Linked DNA regions of Kluyveromyces lactis. The protein of the gene in region 2 interacts with the protein of the main gene of each other region in a pairwise test. Links are inferred from orthologs where the notes say so. Each region holds a gene or a part of one and is shown on either strand. Other genes may lie near its edges. The genes, in order: TVP23, YIP5 and YIP4.

What was found.
Region 1: the proteins of YIP5 (region 2) and TVP23 interact in a two-hybrid assay, tested with the Saccharomyces cerevisiae proteins (2 studies listed by BioGRID). The link is inferred for Kluyveromyces lactis from reciprocal best matches to the Saccharomyces cerevisiae genes YIP5 and TVP23.
Region 3: the proteins of YIP5 (region 2) and YIP4 interact in binary tests that used the Saccharomyces cerevisiae proteins (3 or more experiments, as listed by UniProt). The link is inferred for Kluyveromyces lactis from reciprocal best matches to the Saccharomyces cerevisiae genes YIP5 and YIP4.

The regions. Positions count from the first base shown.
Region 1 is NC_006039.1:1,018,475-1,023,191, reverse strand, and holds TVP23 (Tvp23p), read left to right. Parts: upstream 1-2,189; coding exon 2,190-2,777; downstream 2,778-4,717. Other genes in the region: AFR1 (Afr1p), read left to right, coding at 1-1,832; RRP8 (25S rRNA (adenine645-N1)-methyltransferase), read right to left, coding at 2,891-4,024; STN1 (Stn1p), read right to left, coding at 4,371-4,717. UniProt on the Saccharomyces cerevisiae protein: Golgi membrane protein involved in vesicular trafficking.
Region 2 is NC_006037.1:276,156-280,999, reverse strand, and holds YIP5 (Yip5p), read left to right. Parts: upstream 1-2,322; coding exon 2,323-3,120; downstream 3,121-4,844. Other genes in the region: SUA5 (threonylcarbamoyladenylate synthase), read right to left, coding at 1-1,049; SUT1 (Sut1p), read right to left, coding at 3,516-4,667. UniProt on the Saccharomyces cerevisiae protein: Possible role in vesicle-mediated transport. May be involved in proper membrane localization of Rab GTPases.
Region 3 is NC_006042.1:1,154,380-1,159,091, reverse strand, and holds YIP4 (Yip4p), read left to right. Parts: upstream 1-1,387; coding exon 1,388-2,026; downstream 2,027-4,712. Other genes in the region: KLLA0_F12452g (uncharacterized protein), read left to right, coding at 2,582-4,712. UniProt on the Saccharomyces cerevisiae protein: May be involved in proper membrane localization of Rab GTPases.

The DNA.
Region 1 (4,717 bases), on a different chromosome or scaffold from region 2:
ATCAATCAAGCATTCGGTCCACATCAAGGGGTATCAATCAGCCTACACTACTCCCCAGGTCTACATCGACTAGTGATTTATTTGCTTTCCCATCGTATTCGCATTCCCAAAAGCGTTTGTTTCAAAATAGCGAAAATGGTGTAGAATTGTCCAAATCGGTGTCCATACCCAACCTGGCTTTAATCCCAGAGCATAAAGCACATCACAGGTTGACTCCTTACCAGATACAGAGAAGCCATATGAAACAATCGTTTCAGTTTCCTAATGGAGAAAGTTTTACCCCAAGAAGACAATTACCAAAGAGTGCAAGCTCTGTTTCTTTACACAGACAAAGATCTGCTAACAGTCACCCAAAAATTACCGCTATGCATAGATCTTCGAGTATGGTGACTGTATCGTTACCGCAGTACGAAGATATGTCGAAAAAGCCATCCCAGTTACAGAATCCGCATTCGCGGGTCAATCATCTCCCAACAATTTCTAATGAGTTGCTGCCTTCTAATACTAGTCGATTTGGTTCTTTAACCACTACCCCAAGGTCAAACACCAGAGCACCTTCTTTATGCAACACAAAAGCTCCCAACAAATCAGTATTAACAGCATCATCTTTGCATTTTAATCGGTTACAATCGCACCAGTCACAGGTGAGTATCTCTTCGTTCTCCAATAAGCAAACAGCGTCCAGTAATGATTCACAAAGCACTGAAACTTCCATAAAAGAGATCTGTGATCCAGGGAGTGCAACCAGTACAGATCTCAGCGATGAGGAACTAACAAAGAAAATTTTGTCATCATCCGTTAGAACCCAAAAAATAGTAGCAGAGAGCACTGCAAAGGCCAGCAATGATCTATTGCAGGTTCCTTCGACAATAATTTCTTTCCCACAAAAATGTAGCTCACATCATGATAATACTCACATAGACACTGCTACAAGTGGGTTAACGGGTCCTACTCCTAATGTATCTATCAAAAAGGAGTTAGTTGTCTCAAAAATACCTATATCAGGAAACTCGAATGAGAAGAAAGAGGAGAAAGCTAAAAAGTCAGTGGAATCCTCTCCGGTTAAGAGATCGAGCTCCAGATTGAGTTCCTTCTTTAGAAAACTGTTTCCCTTAAAGAAAAAAGCCAGGAAGGAAGACATTCAAGAAAAGGTATCTGCTAAAACTCAATGGCAGAAAGCGGTTACATCAAAACCGACTACATCAAAGCATATTATTTTACCATCTGAATCAGCAGAACCTCCTTCACTTCTTGATCTAGAAACAGAAGACGATATAGAAGATGATGGTTTTAAAGATCTCATGGACATCGATTTAGTGTTTGATTCTTTATTGTTGAAGTCTGAACAACACCAACAAAATTCCGATATTGCGTTAATTAACCAATTTAATGAAAGCACAAGAATTAGTCCACCAACCGTTGAACCACCTTTGCGCTCTTCGAAGAGACCTTTACTGGTAAAGGATTATCAAGGAAGACTCATACATCACCATAATAACGGGCAAACCACACATAGCGATCGCATCATAGAACATTTGCATCAAAATTGGAAAGCTGTACACTTCAATGCAGTAGTTCCTTCAGTAGTACGTTCCAATGATTCATCTTCACCTGTATCTGCTAAAAAATGCAGATTTAATGAAGAAATATACGTTAATGACACTTTCTCACCAACGGAGTATTTAAGGTCTGATAAGGCTTTCCCTGAAAGTCGGAAGCAATTGTCAAAAAGCAGATACATCGACGGAATCAAAATGGAACTGAATGAATTCAAGAAGAGAGAAATGCTAGTTCATCCTAACAGCTCTCAGTACACTCATTTCTTTCTATGACTCAAAGAAAAAAATTACCGAATACTATCACACACAAGGTAATACTAATATACAATCAAACTCAATAATTTTATATAATCTTTAATTTAGTTAGTTAATTATAATTATAATGATATGCGTCACCATGAACTTTCAACAATTATTGGTGCTTAGCCCATCATTTCCCATGAAAGATCCAGCAAAATATACCTCTCTCATGAATCTGCAACTTTCAGAGTTTCCGGACCTTAAGAAAAATAAAGGTCTTGAACCAAAAATACACCAAAGAACCAACGAAAAGAGAGACGACTTAGAAAACTCATACAAACTAGGGTATACCGTCAAGGAAATCGATCAGCCTATTGAGATATAGTAGATATGGATTCAGCAAGAAACTTCTACAAGACAATTTTGGCATCTTCTCATCCTTTGATTCTAACGATCCACCTTCTGGGAAAAGCGGTGCCAATTGTATTTTATTTGTTAGGATCATGGTTCCTTAGTTCCACAGTACAGTTCATAATTGTTATTTTAACATTGGCAGCAGACTTCTACTTCACGAAGAATATCAATGGTAGAAAGTTAATTCAACAGCGATGGTGGTATGATGTTAGTGGAGAAGACACTACGACGTTTAGATTTGAATCATTCAAAGAATATCCAGATGTTGCGGCGGCCCCAATCAACCCAATCGATTCAAAACTATTTTGGCTGTCACTTTATGTAGCTCCTACTATTTGGGTGGTCTTTGGATTTTTATGTTTGATTAAGTTCCAGTTTGTGTATTTGATACTAGTAATCTTTGCAGGTGGTTTAAATTTATGGAATGCTTACGCTTACCGTTTATGTGATCAATGGGAACCTGGCCATACAGCCGAAGCACCATTGTTCCAACTTCCAATGCTTCCATCGTTTGCAAACCTCGACAGAGTGACCAGATTGCAATCATTTTTCACCAGGTCTTGATAAAACTACAAATTTATTAAAAAGTACATAGATTTAGGTACATCAATGGAATGACACTCGTACAAATGTGAATAATACATCTTCTAACCAAAGGAAAACGAAAAGGTAGTCTTTTATCTCCTTTTATAAATACATGGCTTAAGTAGCCATTTTCCTTCTGGAATCTGTTCTCTTTTCTTCTGTAGCTCTTCCTTTTCTGTCTCTACTTCGATAAACTTCTGTCTACGTTCCAATTTCGCTTTTCTTTCTTCAATAATGTCTTGAGGTGGTTTGAAGAACTCGAATCTTGTAAACATTTTGTTACTGTCATCAGTATTCTTGTGGAAGAAACCTTGTAGTTTCAAGGCATTTACAAATTCTTCACCCTTCCCGTCACCAAATCTTGATTTGATTTCAGCAATCCATAGTTCTCCACGAGGAGCTAAAATTCTGTACGCTTCGTTAATAAAATCTAGGAAATTTGTTCCCATCAACGCCAAACAGAACACTACGATCGTACATGATTCATCTGGCAAGGGAACATTTCTGATATCGGCAACTGTTATTCTTTCATTTGCTTTCTTTAGGTCAAAGCTATGCACTTTACAAGATTTCTTTTGGAATTTCTTGGCGGATTTGTTGTGACTCTTGAAGAAGTTATTGATGTCTAAAGCTAGCTGAGCTTCACCACACCCCATATCTGCGACTACAATAGTTTTATCCTTTAAACCTGGTAATCCACCAGGAGCATTAACAGGCTTGTTTGCTCTTGCACGTATTTGTTCAACGAAAACATCAACTGGGTTTTCTGGCCAGGATTGAACCTGAGATCTGAACCCGTCGTGGTACTCGTCAAATAATTGGGGTTGTTCTTTTATTAGCTTTAGCGCATTCTCTGAAGAAATAGTGTATAGTTGTTCATTGATCCATCTGAATCTTGAACCGGTAAGTTTGGCCATCATTTTTTGTTGTAATGCTGTTAACGGCTTCTTCGTCGCTAAAACTGGCTGTGATGCTTCTACTTCTTCTATTTTTCTTTTCTTAGTTGGTTTTTCGGTCTGTTTCGCAGGTGTTGGTTCCTCTAAACCTTCTTGTTCAACTGGCTCTGACTCTTTTGAATTAGCATTACGCCTTTGCTCAGCCAATTTCTGTTGATATTCCTTACGTTCTTTACGACTTTTCTTGACTTTACCACCGTCCTTTTTAGCATTGTCAAACTCAATTTTGCTGGAATCGAGATTCCAACCTTCAACCTTAAATAGACCCATGATTTACGTGTTAGTATTGATCTTTTGATCAGCTATTGCAACGGGCAAGAATCTGTTTAAGTATCTTTGTTAATATCCATCTCATCTCATCTCTTAGTTTTGACGTTCGCTTTGATTTTTTTTTTCAGTGCCAATCATTCGAAAAGCAATTGTGAAAACAGAAGCTCACACATAATCTTCAATAAAGGAAATGTGTCAAACGCAGATTGTGTACGAAATAGTTAACAGATTTGACGTTCAATGTACAAGGAACTTTTGTGATTATGGCCGGATGATACGGCACTGTATAGTTCTGCTTGCCCATGATCTTTTAATTTTGTCTTAATTATGGTTACAATTCAATTCGCTATTTAGATTTAGAATAGGTGAAGAAGACTTTATAGCGTTCTTCTGATGTAGGATCTACCCACCAGTCTATAAGATTTCCGATATGAGTTGTATTGAGAAAATGCTTACACATTTGAAGAATCAATTTTTTGGACAGTAGAGGTAATTTACAGAAATTTCTAATCTCGCTGTACTTTATCGTAATCTGCGGAATTTGAACATTAATCAACGATTGAAATCGAGTGATTATGTATCGATAGCAATTATGCAAGTTTGTCATGTTTATCGTGAAACTATCAAGAGTGATAATTGCCATTTCCGCTAGTTGTGCTAGGAATGTTTCATAAAATTTCAAATGCAAAACGG
Region 2 (4,844 bases):
GTACCGAGTGATTCATGTATGCACTTGCCATCTATGAAATGTTTATTCAAATGTAAGCTGTTCAAGAATGCAACCTTTTTGGCACCCTGCTGTATGATTTCCTTGTCAACTAAGCTTTTCAGTCTACCCAATCTTTCGGATGATATGATTTGCGAATCGCCTTCAGGCACCAATAAAATAACCTTAGCCTTAGGGGAATAATGTCTATATTTCATACCTGGAGTTTTGACTTTTTCATCGTCCTTGATGTTTACTTTAGTCTCTACCAGACACTCTTTCCATAGAGGTCCGCCAATGTTTAGAATATTCTCATAGGTAAAACCACCTGGCCTTAATAACATTGGCGGAGTTACAAGCCCATCGACTACAGTAGATTCGACACCAACAGAACATTTACCACCATCTAAAATAAGTGGTATTCTACCATTCAAGTCATGGAATACGTGTTCAGCGGTCGTTGGTGATGGTCTTGTAGATGCGTTGGCTGAAGGTGCTGCGATTGGGGTATCACTCAATGCTATTAATGCTCTTGCAATCGGATTAGCAGGGATTCGACACGCAAATGTTGGTTGATTTGCAGTAGTCAATTTGGATAATGTGTTTCTGTTTGAACCGTCGGGAATTGATAAGAGTATGGTAAGTGGCCCAGGCCACAGTTTTTCCACTAATGGATGATAAATCTCTGGTACATGGGAAAGAGGCTTACAATCATCAGAGATATCTGAGTATATGACACGGTTAAGTTGAGAAAGGGACGAAATATGGGTTATCAAAGGGTTATCGCTAGGTCTGTTCTTTGCCTTGTATATATTTTTTACAGATTCATCGTTCAAGGCAGAACCTCCAAGTCCATACACAGTCTCAGTTGGAAAGGCAACAGTTTCTGAGGTATCTCGTATTATACCAGCAGCTTCTAACAGGTTTTTTTCAGTTTCAGCACATGTGAATGTCGGTAAAGATCCGTCTATATGGGCACTATCTGAGAAATGTATCGCTGCAGGATCGACTTTCAGAATCCTGGTAGTTAATTTCATTACACTTCGTAGCATACACTGGGAAAAATTAGGGAGAGTAGTGTAATGTAATTGTAATATGAATTGATAACTATGACAACCTGAATTACTGAATCTTTGGTATATAAATGACCACTAGAGTCGGATTATTTAGCAGTCTTTCCAATACGATGGCCTCTTCATCATGCCAGCCAGCCTCATCTTTCAATGTTCTGCATTAAAATGCCAGCTTGAGTTAACTGCTGAAAAGGTGAAAAAGAAAAAAACTAATTCGTATATCTCATCTTGTACGAACATGACACTTTCCGTAATCCTGAGCTTGATTAAGCTCGATTCAGGATAAGACAGCACATGTTAATCATAATCCTATAGATTGACAATTGGCGTCGGAGCTTTGTAACCGTGTTGATCTGATTTGATATGCATTAGAAAATGGTGAGTTGAGGTACAAAATATATAGATCGGTATGCTCTCATATTTCCAATATGACGACTATCCCGGTTCACAACAAAACCACCTCTCAATTCGACCGAAAATCTCAGATTTGAATAGAATATCTTGTTTATAATCATTATCCACAAGGGATGCAATTTCACGACACTTCATTGAAAATAGTCAAAGGCTGCATCATAATGGCAGATACGGCTTATTGGAAAAAGCGCTTCGAATCACATGCCAGGTCAATTACAACTCATGGCGGATTAGTTACCTTTTGTAATTTACTTATCGTACGTTGCTTAAAATTCTTTACTGTTATATTTAGTATGCCCTAAAGCTTACCGACAATAAAAGAGTTAATTAGAATGACGGAGTCTTTAATTATCTGGAATTAGGTCGATTGAATTTGTATGGTAAAAAAGTCCGTTACCTACGTCTCCTAGAAATCGATCAAGAGTTTTATAAATTTGCTGGTTAGTCATACCTGGATACATCTTTTACATTTGCGGTGTTCTACGTATGAAGTGTGCCCAATATGATCAAGCAACGGATCATGTTCAGCTGTGCTTTTACCCGCTTCTTTAGCGGTGTGGCAATACGGTGAACATTTGTTAGTAGAGCAGGGGCCTATTTAAGTCACGTGCAAGTGTATTCTTATTTTGTTACCCGTATATATATATATATGTCTTGCCGGTAGCAATTGAAAAATGCTGTTCAAAATCACTTCAACATACGCATAGTAAATAAGGTTTATTGAATCTCTAAACATTGGAAAGAAATATCGGGCATTTATCTCTGACATAATTCAGAATTTGAACGGTAGCAAATAATTTTGTCGCACAATTGTTGACTTATAGATTTTCCTTCTACAATGAGCGCTAAAAAGGATTTGATAGATCGTGATGATGATGATATTAATCCATTTGAAGACGACTCCTTTGTTCCTCAAGTTACACCCGGCTTAAAACCATTCGAGCCTGAGCTCCAAGATATAACGTTAGAAACTACTAGAGAGGCTCCTCAACCTGCTATAACTACAGGAAAGGCCAGTATCTTCTCAAAGCTATCTCCATATTTTCAAGTAGATGAAACCACACTCAAACAAAAACTTATCACCGCATTGAAACTAGGTGAATTGAAATCATTGAGGGATCCTGAAAGCCAAGCAGATGCACAATTGGATTTGTACAGTACTGTATGGATAACAGCCACTGTCATCATGGTACTGTTCCTATCTTATTCCGGTAAGAGTGTTATCGGATCACTAATCACAAATAGCTTTTCTGATGTAATCGATTTCCAGATCATGATCAATTGTCTATTCTTATTCTACATTTACGTTTTGGGGGTGCCAATCTTAGCATTTTTGATCTGTAAATTCGTGTTCAAAGAACCCTTTGATGTCATAACAGCAATTGACACATATGGTGTCAGTAACGTTGTGTGGGTGCCAATCGGTTTCATAAGTGTAGTGACGGGACTTGTGGGACCCTTCGAAAATATAATAGAATGGGTCCTAGTGGCAATAGGAGGTGCATACAGCGGTGGTATTATCTATATACAACTAAAAAATGTTGTAACAGAGTTACAAAATGGTAAAGTTCTATTGCTTGCCATGATTGGGGTTCATATTCTATTTACGTTACTGGTAAGATGGATCATCCTTTAAAGTATATACTCTACAACTTACTCAAAGCATGATAATATGACACCTAAAAAATATAACGCTTGTATCAGTTATGATATGTAAAACGGGTGTTTAATTAAACATATTAGACCAGGTATATATTAACTGTTGAACAGAGTACAATAAAACGATTAAAAACCAAAGAAAAAAACAATGAAAGAGAATAACAGGGAAAAAAACTTCACCCCTCTAATGTACCCAAAGGGGGATAATGTACATCAGGAGAGGAAATAATGAATAGAATAGTTGAAATGGTATGTCCATCATTAATAGAAAAAAGTTCAATGAAAAGTTGAAATAGTGTTACTCGTTTTATGAAAAGGGTGCTGAACGATAATGCTTTTTGCCCTGTGAATTGTATATGAATGTATAGGTTATCAATCCAGTGAATAACCAACATTGAGGTAGTCCTTGACTGTGAAATCTCCTAAAGAATTTCGTTTGCCCAGTTTTTTGTTCAAAGTAGAAAATACGGCGATATCGTTTCTAGTGAACCCTTTGCTAAAACTACAATCACGGTCTTTTTTCTTTTGGCATGAGCTACAAGAGCTGAAAGCAATCAACTTATCAACATGTCTAACCAGCGACATGTCTTTGCGTTCTGCTAATTGTTTCCTGACCTCGGTCGGGATTTTCATCAATATATCTGGTCTACAAGTATCAATTGACAAAGGACAATGTAATGATTCATCTTCTTTGCAATTGAAAAGCAGTGAAGGGTCTTGTGATATGACTAGTACGGTGGCATCGCATTTAATTTTCTTTGACCTGCAAACATCGCAGCTTGGTCCTGTTCTTTGCCTTTTGCACTTAGAGGAAGTGATAACTTTAGCTCCTGAGATATTAGCCAGTAGTTGGTTATCATCAAAGCCTCGTGTTACTCCAGCATCCTCTTCCACAGAAGATGGTGAATTTGAGACAGATTGAGCTCTTGATAGTGGTGACTTTGATCTTGAAGAGGAGCGTGATGTAGTACTTGACGTTGTGTTGGAAGAAACAGCAGAACTCAAAGTGAACGAAGTGTTACTGCTCATTCTCATGCTATTCTTTCTTGAGTTTTTCCGTCCTCTTTTCTTGAACGCTACTGGAGCAGCCAAAGATTCTTCATCAGCACTAGAGTTCGAGCGTTTTCTCTGCAAACAGTCGTGTATTAGAGGATGCTGATGACTGTTATAGCTACTGCCGATAGTATCCTTTGGAAGGGCGACGTTGTTGGTGGCAGCGGCAACAGATGCTAGGCTTGCCAAGTCATCCAACGAAGAACTTGCCGTTGCTGTTGAGCTATTAATGTTTGAGTTTGGTGGTGTCAGTAGAACCGCTGTTTTAGAAGTAGTGTAATTAGCACTTGGCTTGGACCATGAGCTAGAATTGGATATGAGGTTAAGTCCGGACACCGATTTATCCTGCTTGAAATTTGATGCCGACAGCTTGTTAAGATATGTGTTTCTTTCATCATGATGAACCACCGCCGGGAGCAACAAGGGCGGAAGTGATGTATTGTTGCAGTTGTCTATAATAATACTGGACATGATGACGATTGGTTTCTTGATTAAATTGCGTAGTGTTCTCTAAAAAAAAACTCTGTAATGAGATAATGCTTAACTAACTAAAGGTAAAATAATACATTAGTAAAACTCCGAAAAGAAGATGGAAGGAAATTAATAGATAAACAATCCACAAACCATAATCTATATATATATATATAT
Region 3 (4,712 bases), on a different chromosome or scaffold from region 2:
ACCCGAAAAACGAGATCTACACCGTTTCGTATTGTGTTCAAACCTGTCGCCAATAACCACACACTGACCTGACTCGAGCTGGCGCCAATACTGATGATCTTCCCGGAAACAAATGGGAAGGAAAACACTGAAAATACCGTGTTTTCCCAATGAATAAAACACAAGTTGTAAGTAATGCCAAAAAGCGTTACCGAAAGTTTTCAATTCTCAATTTTCACTTTTGTTCTCCTTCATATGGGAAAAAAAGAAAAGAAGTCGCAGTGTCAGCTTGGTATCGCTTCGCATTGGACTGGAAAACCAACTGGGGCTAGGGATGGGGCTAGTGCCCAGTGTTGCCTTGCCAAGTGTCGTATATGTACTATTTAGTTATGGAATGGGTTGTGTTCTGTTTTTGTTTGTGAGCGGGAGGGTGCTAGGTATTTCAGAGATGTCGGGTTTCGATGGCAAAGATGCTACTACTACTGCTACTGCTGCTGCGCAGCAGCAGTAGCAGTGTCTATATTCTGCCTAGCATTTCGCACCGCAGCTCGCGCACGCAGCCTCTGACATTTACGTCCCTTGCCTTCTTTGCCTACTTCTCTTCTTCTCTTCTCTTCTCTTCTCTTCTTCTCTTTCCACTCGTTTACCATATTTATTATTAGAATCAAGATGTAAAGAGCTGGCAGGCTGCAGTTCGTTACATTCTCCATTAGGGATACATGAAAAAATACATATAGTAAATAAAACAAGGGCGTACAATAAGCTACCGCACCTTGCTATTTCGGGCAACACCAAGGCATAGAATCCGTTGGTTTGGATGTGTTCTCACTTCGTTGGTTCTGCCCTACCCGATAAGTTAGAGAAATGATGTATAGTGATGATATAGGGGAGACCAAAATGAGGGAAAGAGGGAAATCGTTATGAACGAAACCAGGGTAACAATGAGCGATGACCACGTCTCCCAAGGTTGTCGTTTTAGGATATTGAACCAGGAAATGCTAGAGGCTGGAATGGCGTAATGGAACCGTGCACTGTGGTCGAAGGGGATGTTTATTCTTGCAGTTTGGGAAACGTCTCGTGATAGGCTCTCACAACATAACGGGCAAACGCCTCTAAGAAATACCTTGCTTCTTATTAACCCCCAGTAGCTTAGTGGGCGGACCAGGCGGTCTGCGCGAATTGCCAGAAAACCGAAGTTGTGACAAATAAAAAAAAGTTACTTTCTCGGCAGTTCGAATCTCAAATGATGAATAACTATGCGTGAACAATCTCTGATTGATACAAATAACGCTTGTATCAAAGGATTAAAAAACATGTTGCCTTCCTTCTGAATTGACTTATAAGTAAAAACCTCTATTTTATTCTTTTTTTACAATTAATTACCATATCCCAGCGAGTAAGGCCAATTATGGACACCATTGAACCAGATTTTATTGAAACTGAGACTGGTAACGGTTACGGTTCCACTTTATCCACTTCTGCTAGAGGAACGTTAGATGAAAGTATCGTGTCCACTTTCAAAAGAGATTTCCATGAGATCAATGATAAATTAAAGAAAGTAGTCTACCCACATTTCCCATTGGGTTCACCAAGTGCTCAAGATCAACATGTTTTCCAAGGTACCGACCTCTGGGCCCCTCTATGTTTCATTATACTATACTCGTTGTTCTTATCCAAGGGTCGTGGACGGTTTTCCTCGTTTTTCATCACTTGTTGGCTGGTGATCAGTGCTATGGCCACACATTTGAAACTTTTGAATCCACATGAACCAATGTCTTGGATGTCATATTTGTCTCTTGCAGGTTATTGCATGTTCCCGCAAGTGATCAATTCGTTGGCATGTTCAATTATCTTACCTTTATTCAATAAGATCCCTAAAGTTACACTTATAAGACTAATAGTGATAGCAAGAATCGTCTCGTTTGCACTATGTTCGTCATGGTCAATAATATCAATGTGGAAAGTATCGAAATCCCAGACTTTGGTTCAAAAATACCCATTGGCTTTATGTTTAGTAACGCTAGGTTGGTTATCTGTGATTTGTTGAATCGGCCGCATTGCACGCACCCAAAAAAAACAAACTATCCACTTTATAAACCTGTTGTAAATAAATATATAAACATGCTTCGAAGTACAAGGACCTTTTCACCAATCAATTATCTCTTATCATTTTCTGTCTTAATTCTCCTCTGTATTTTCTATTAAAAGCTGCACCCTTGGCCTCTTTTACTGCAAAATGATGATGAAATTTAAAGGATTTGAAATAGGAATTACCAGAATCCCATTCTGATCAAAAGCATCGGTGAAAGGAAAAAGAGGGAGAACAAGCTGTATTATCCATCAACCACAGATTGTACCTTAAGATATCGATAGTCTAGTATCAGTGCTAATACGTTTCGGTACGAAAACTGCAGAGTTTATTTTGTTGAGTAATTGGGAGCCATCTTCCTTTTTTCTGTTGTTGGCCCTTCTTGATATTTTGGGTTCTGCTAGTCAGCCAGGAGCATACAAGATACGCATAGCAAATAGCTGCTTCAATAGCTGTCACATCGATTCAAGAACCATACAAACTTCACTTTCAAAAAATTTTTTCCAGTAGAATATGCCGTTTCTTCTTCCCTCAAATTGTTCTTGTTATAACCTACACCTACCGCAATTGGATGCTCAAACGGCGGATAGTATGGATGAATGCTCCATCAGAAGATCTACATTGGACGTAAGAACTGGTGCTGCAACAGTACTTGCCAGATCGGGGATATTCGTGCACGGTGGGTTGACAATCCCTTTGAATTTACAAGAAATAACATCTACTAATCTACAACAAGAGTTGATTATGCATTTTGCCCGAGAAAGGAAGGACTCAAATAGATTTCAAAACCTGGGACAATGGATAAGTAAGGAAGTGTTCTTTTTAGATTTGATTTCAAGACGTTGGGAACGGGTAGAAACTATGCCTGAAACTGATCCCATGGGTAATCCGATGCCCCGGTTGACAGAGAGGTTATTTCATTCTGTATGCTATTGTCAAGAGGCTATCTTTGTTTTCGGTGGTTTGACAGTTTCAGAACAATCTGATTATGAGTTTATTTCCACTAATGAACTTTGGAAATTGGATTTACATAATAAAGTCTGGTCATTAATCAGTAAGGACCCGTCAGTGACAAGAAGATTCAATAATCAGATGCATGTCTTGTACGAATCGGATCCAAAGAAGGACACCAAGTTAATTATAGTGGGTGGTTTGAATAATTTGGACCAACCAGTTGAAACTATTGACATTTTCAATTTATCGACAAACTGTTGGGAAACGGATGTGTGGGACGAAGAGGACGATTTACATAATATAACAGTTAATATCGGAGGCAAATCTGTTCCTCTCATCTCCGAAAATAACTTTTCGTTGTTGGTTGAAGAAAATGAGGCTAAACTGCCGTCGTTGGCTGTGTATTCTCCCTCAATAGAGGAATCTCATGATCATGATCATGAGTTTAAGTGCAATTTCAACTCCGAAGAGAATCCACTTTTCGCCTTACCTTTAATGCCGGATGCCGAAGGTGCTAGAATGCACGTCTATGATGACAACGATAGACGAAGAAAAAGATTACATATCGCCTATAATTTGCAATGGCCCACCGGCGATAAATTCGGTTATAACATCATAATATCTGGTTTCCATCCAAACTTACAGTCAGACAATTTTCATTGTTTCCTTTACAACATCACTTCAGGGAAATGGACTAGATTGAGTATCAACTGCGATGATATACATAGCTCAAAACATAGATTCTGGAAATTGTTCTTATGGGAATCGCATCACAAGGCTTTGCTTCTTGGTACCAAAAATGATTCTGGCTGTTTGCCCTCTGTACAAAAATTTGATAGACTGCTTTCCTTCGGGTTGCATATCACTAATTTATTCCATTCTGCTCAGAGAGATCAGAAATCCTCTAAATCATCCTCTGCAAAGAAAATACCGGGCAGTTTGGCTCAAACAGAGACAGACCAGTTCGAAAATTACAGTAGATATGTTGCCCCACCATCTGAAATCACATCTATAAGATCCGTCTTCCCATCTTATTCAATGGTTTTAGGTAAAGATTCTTTGGAAGTCTACAACAAGCTACTAGCAGATTTTGAGTTCATAACGGAAGATGACGAATCTGTCGCCGTTCCAAGTTTTTTACTTAGAAAGAGATGGGGTAGGTACTTCGATATGCTTTTGGCTAATGCTTATGTTCAAGTTTCAACAGATCGCAAAATACCGGAAAGCTTTTCCCAGATTTCAAAACTTTCTTCAGGAAACGTAGGGCAGTTAGGCGTCTCGCCGCATACATCTAGTTCAATATCTTCCATAGCTAAGGATGACAAGAAGCCAACATCACAAGGATCTTTGGACACATTTTTTAGCCGCCACAGACCAAGTGCACAGTCTGTGCAAAGCAGCACGCCTCCAATGGAAAGGAAATCCGCTTGCTTATTCTTCAATACGCCAAGCACATCTAAATTAACAAATGATAACTCGTCTCATTCGATAGCTTCTCATTCAGATAGCTTAGCAACCGCTACTAACGCCAACGACAGATTACCTACCTCTTTGGGAGTAAATCCTGATCATATAGTCTCTTTGGGAGAAATATCGGAGCAGTCTTCTCAGAGACGTCATTCAAACGCTGCTTCAGGTGTAACGAGTTCATCCGGTGGCATGGTATTTAGGGTTCCATTCAGGCCAAGCG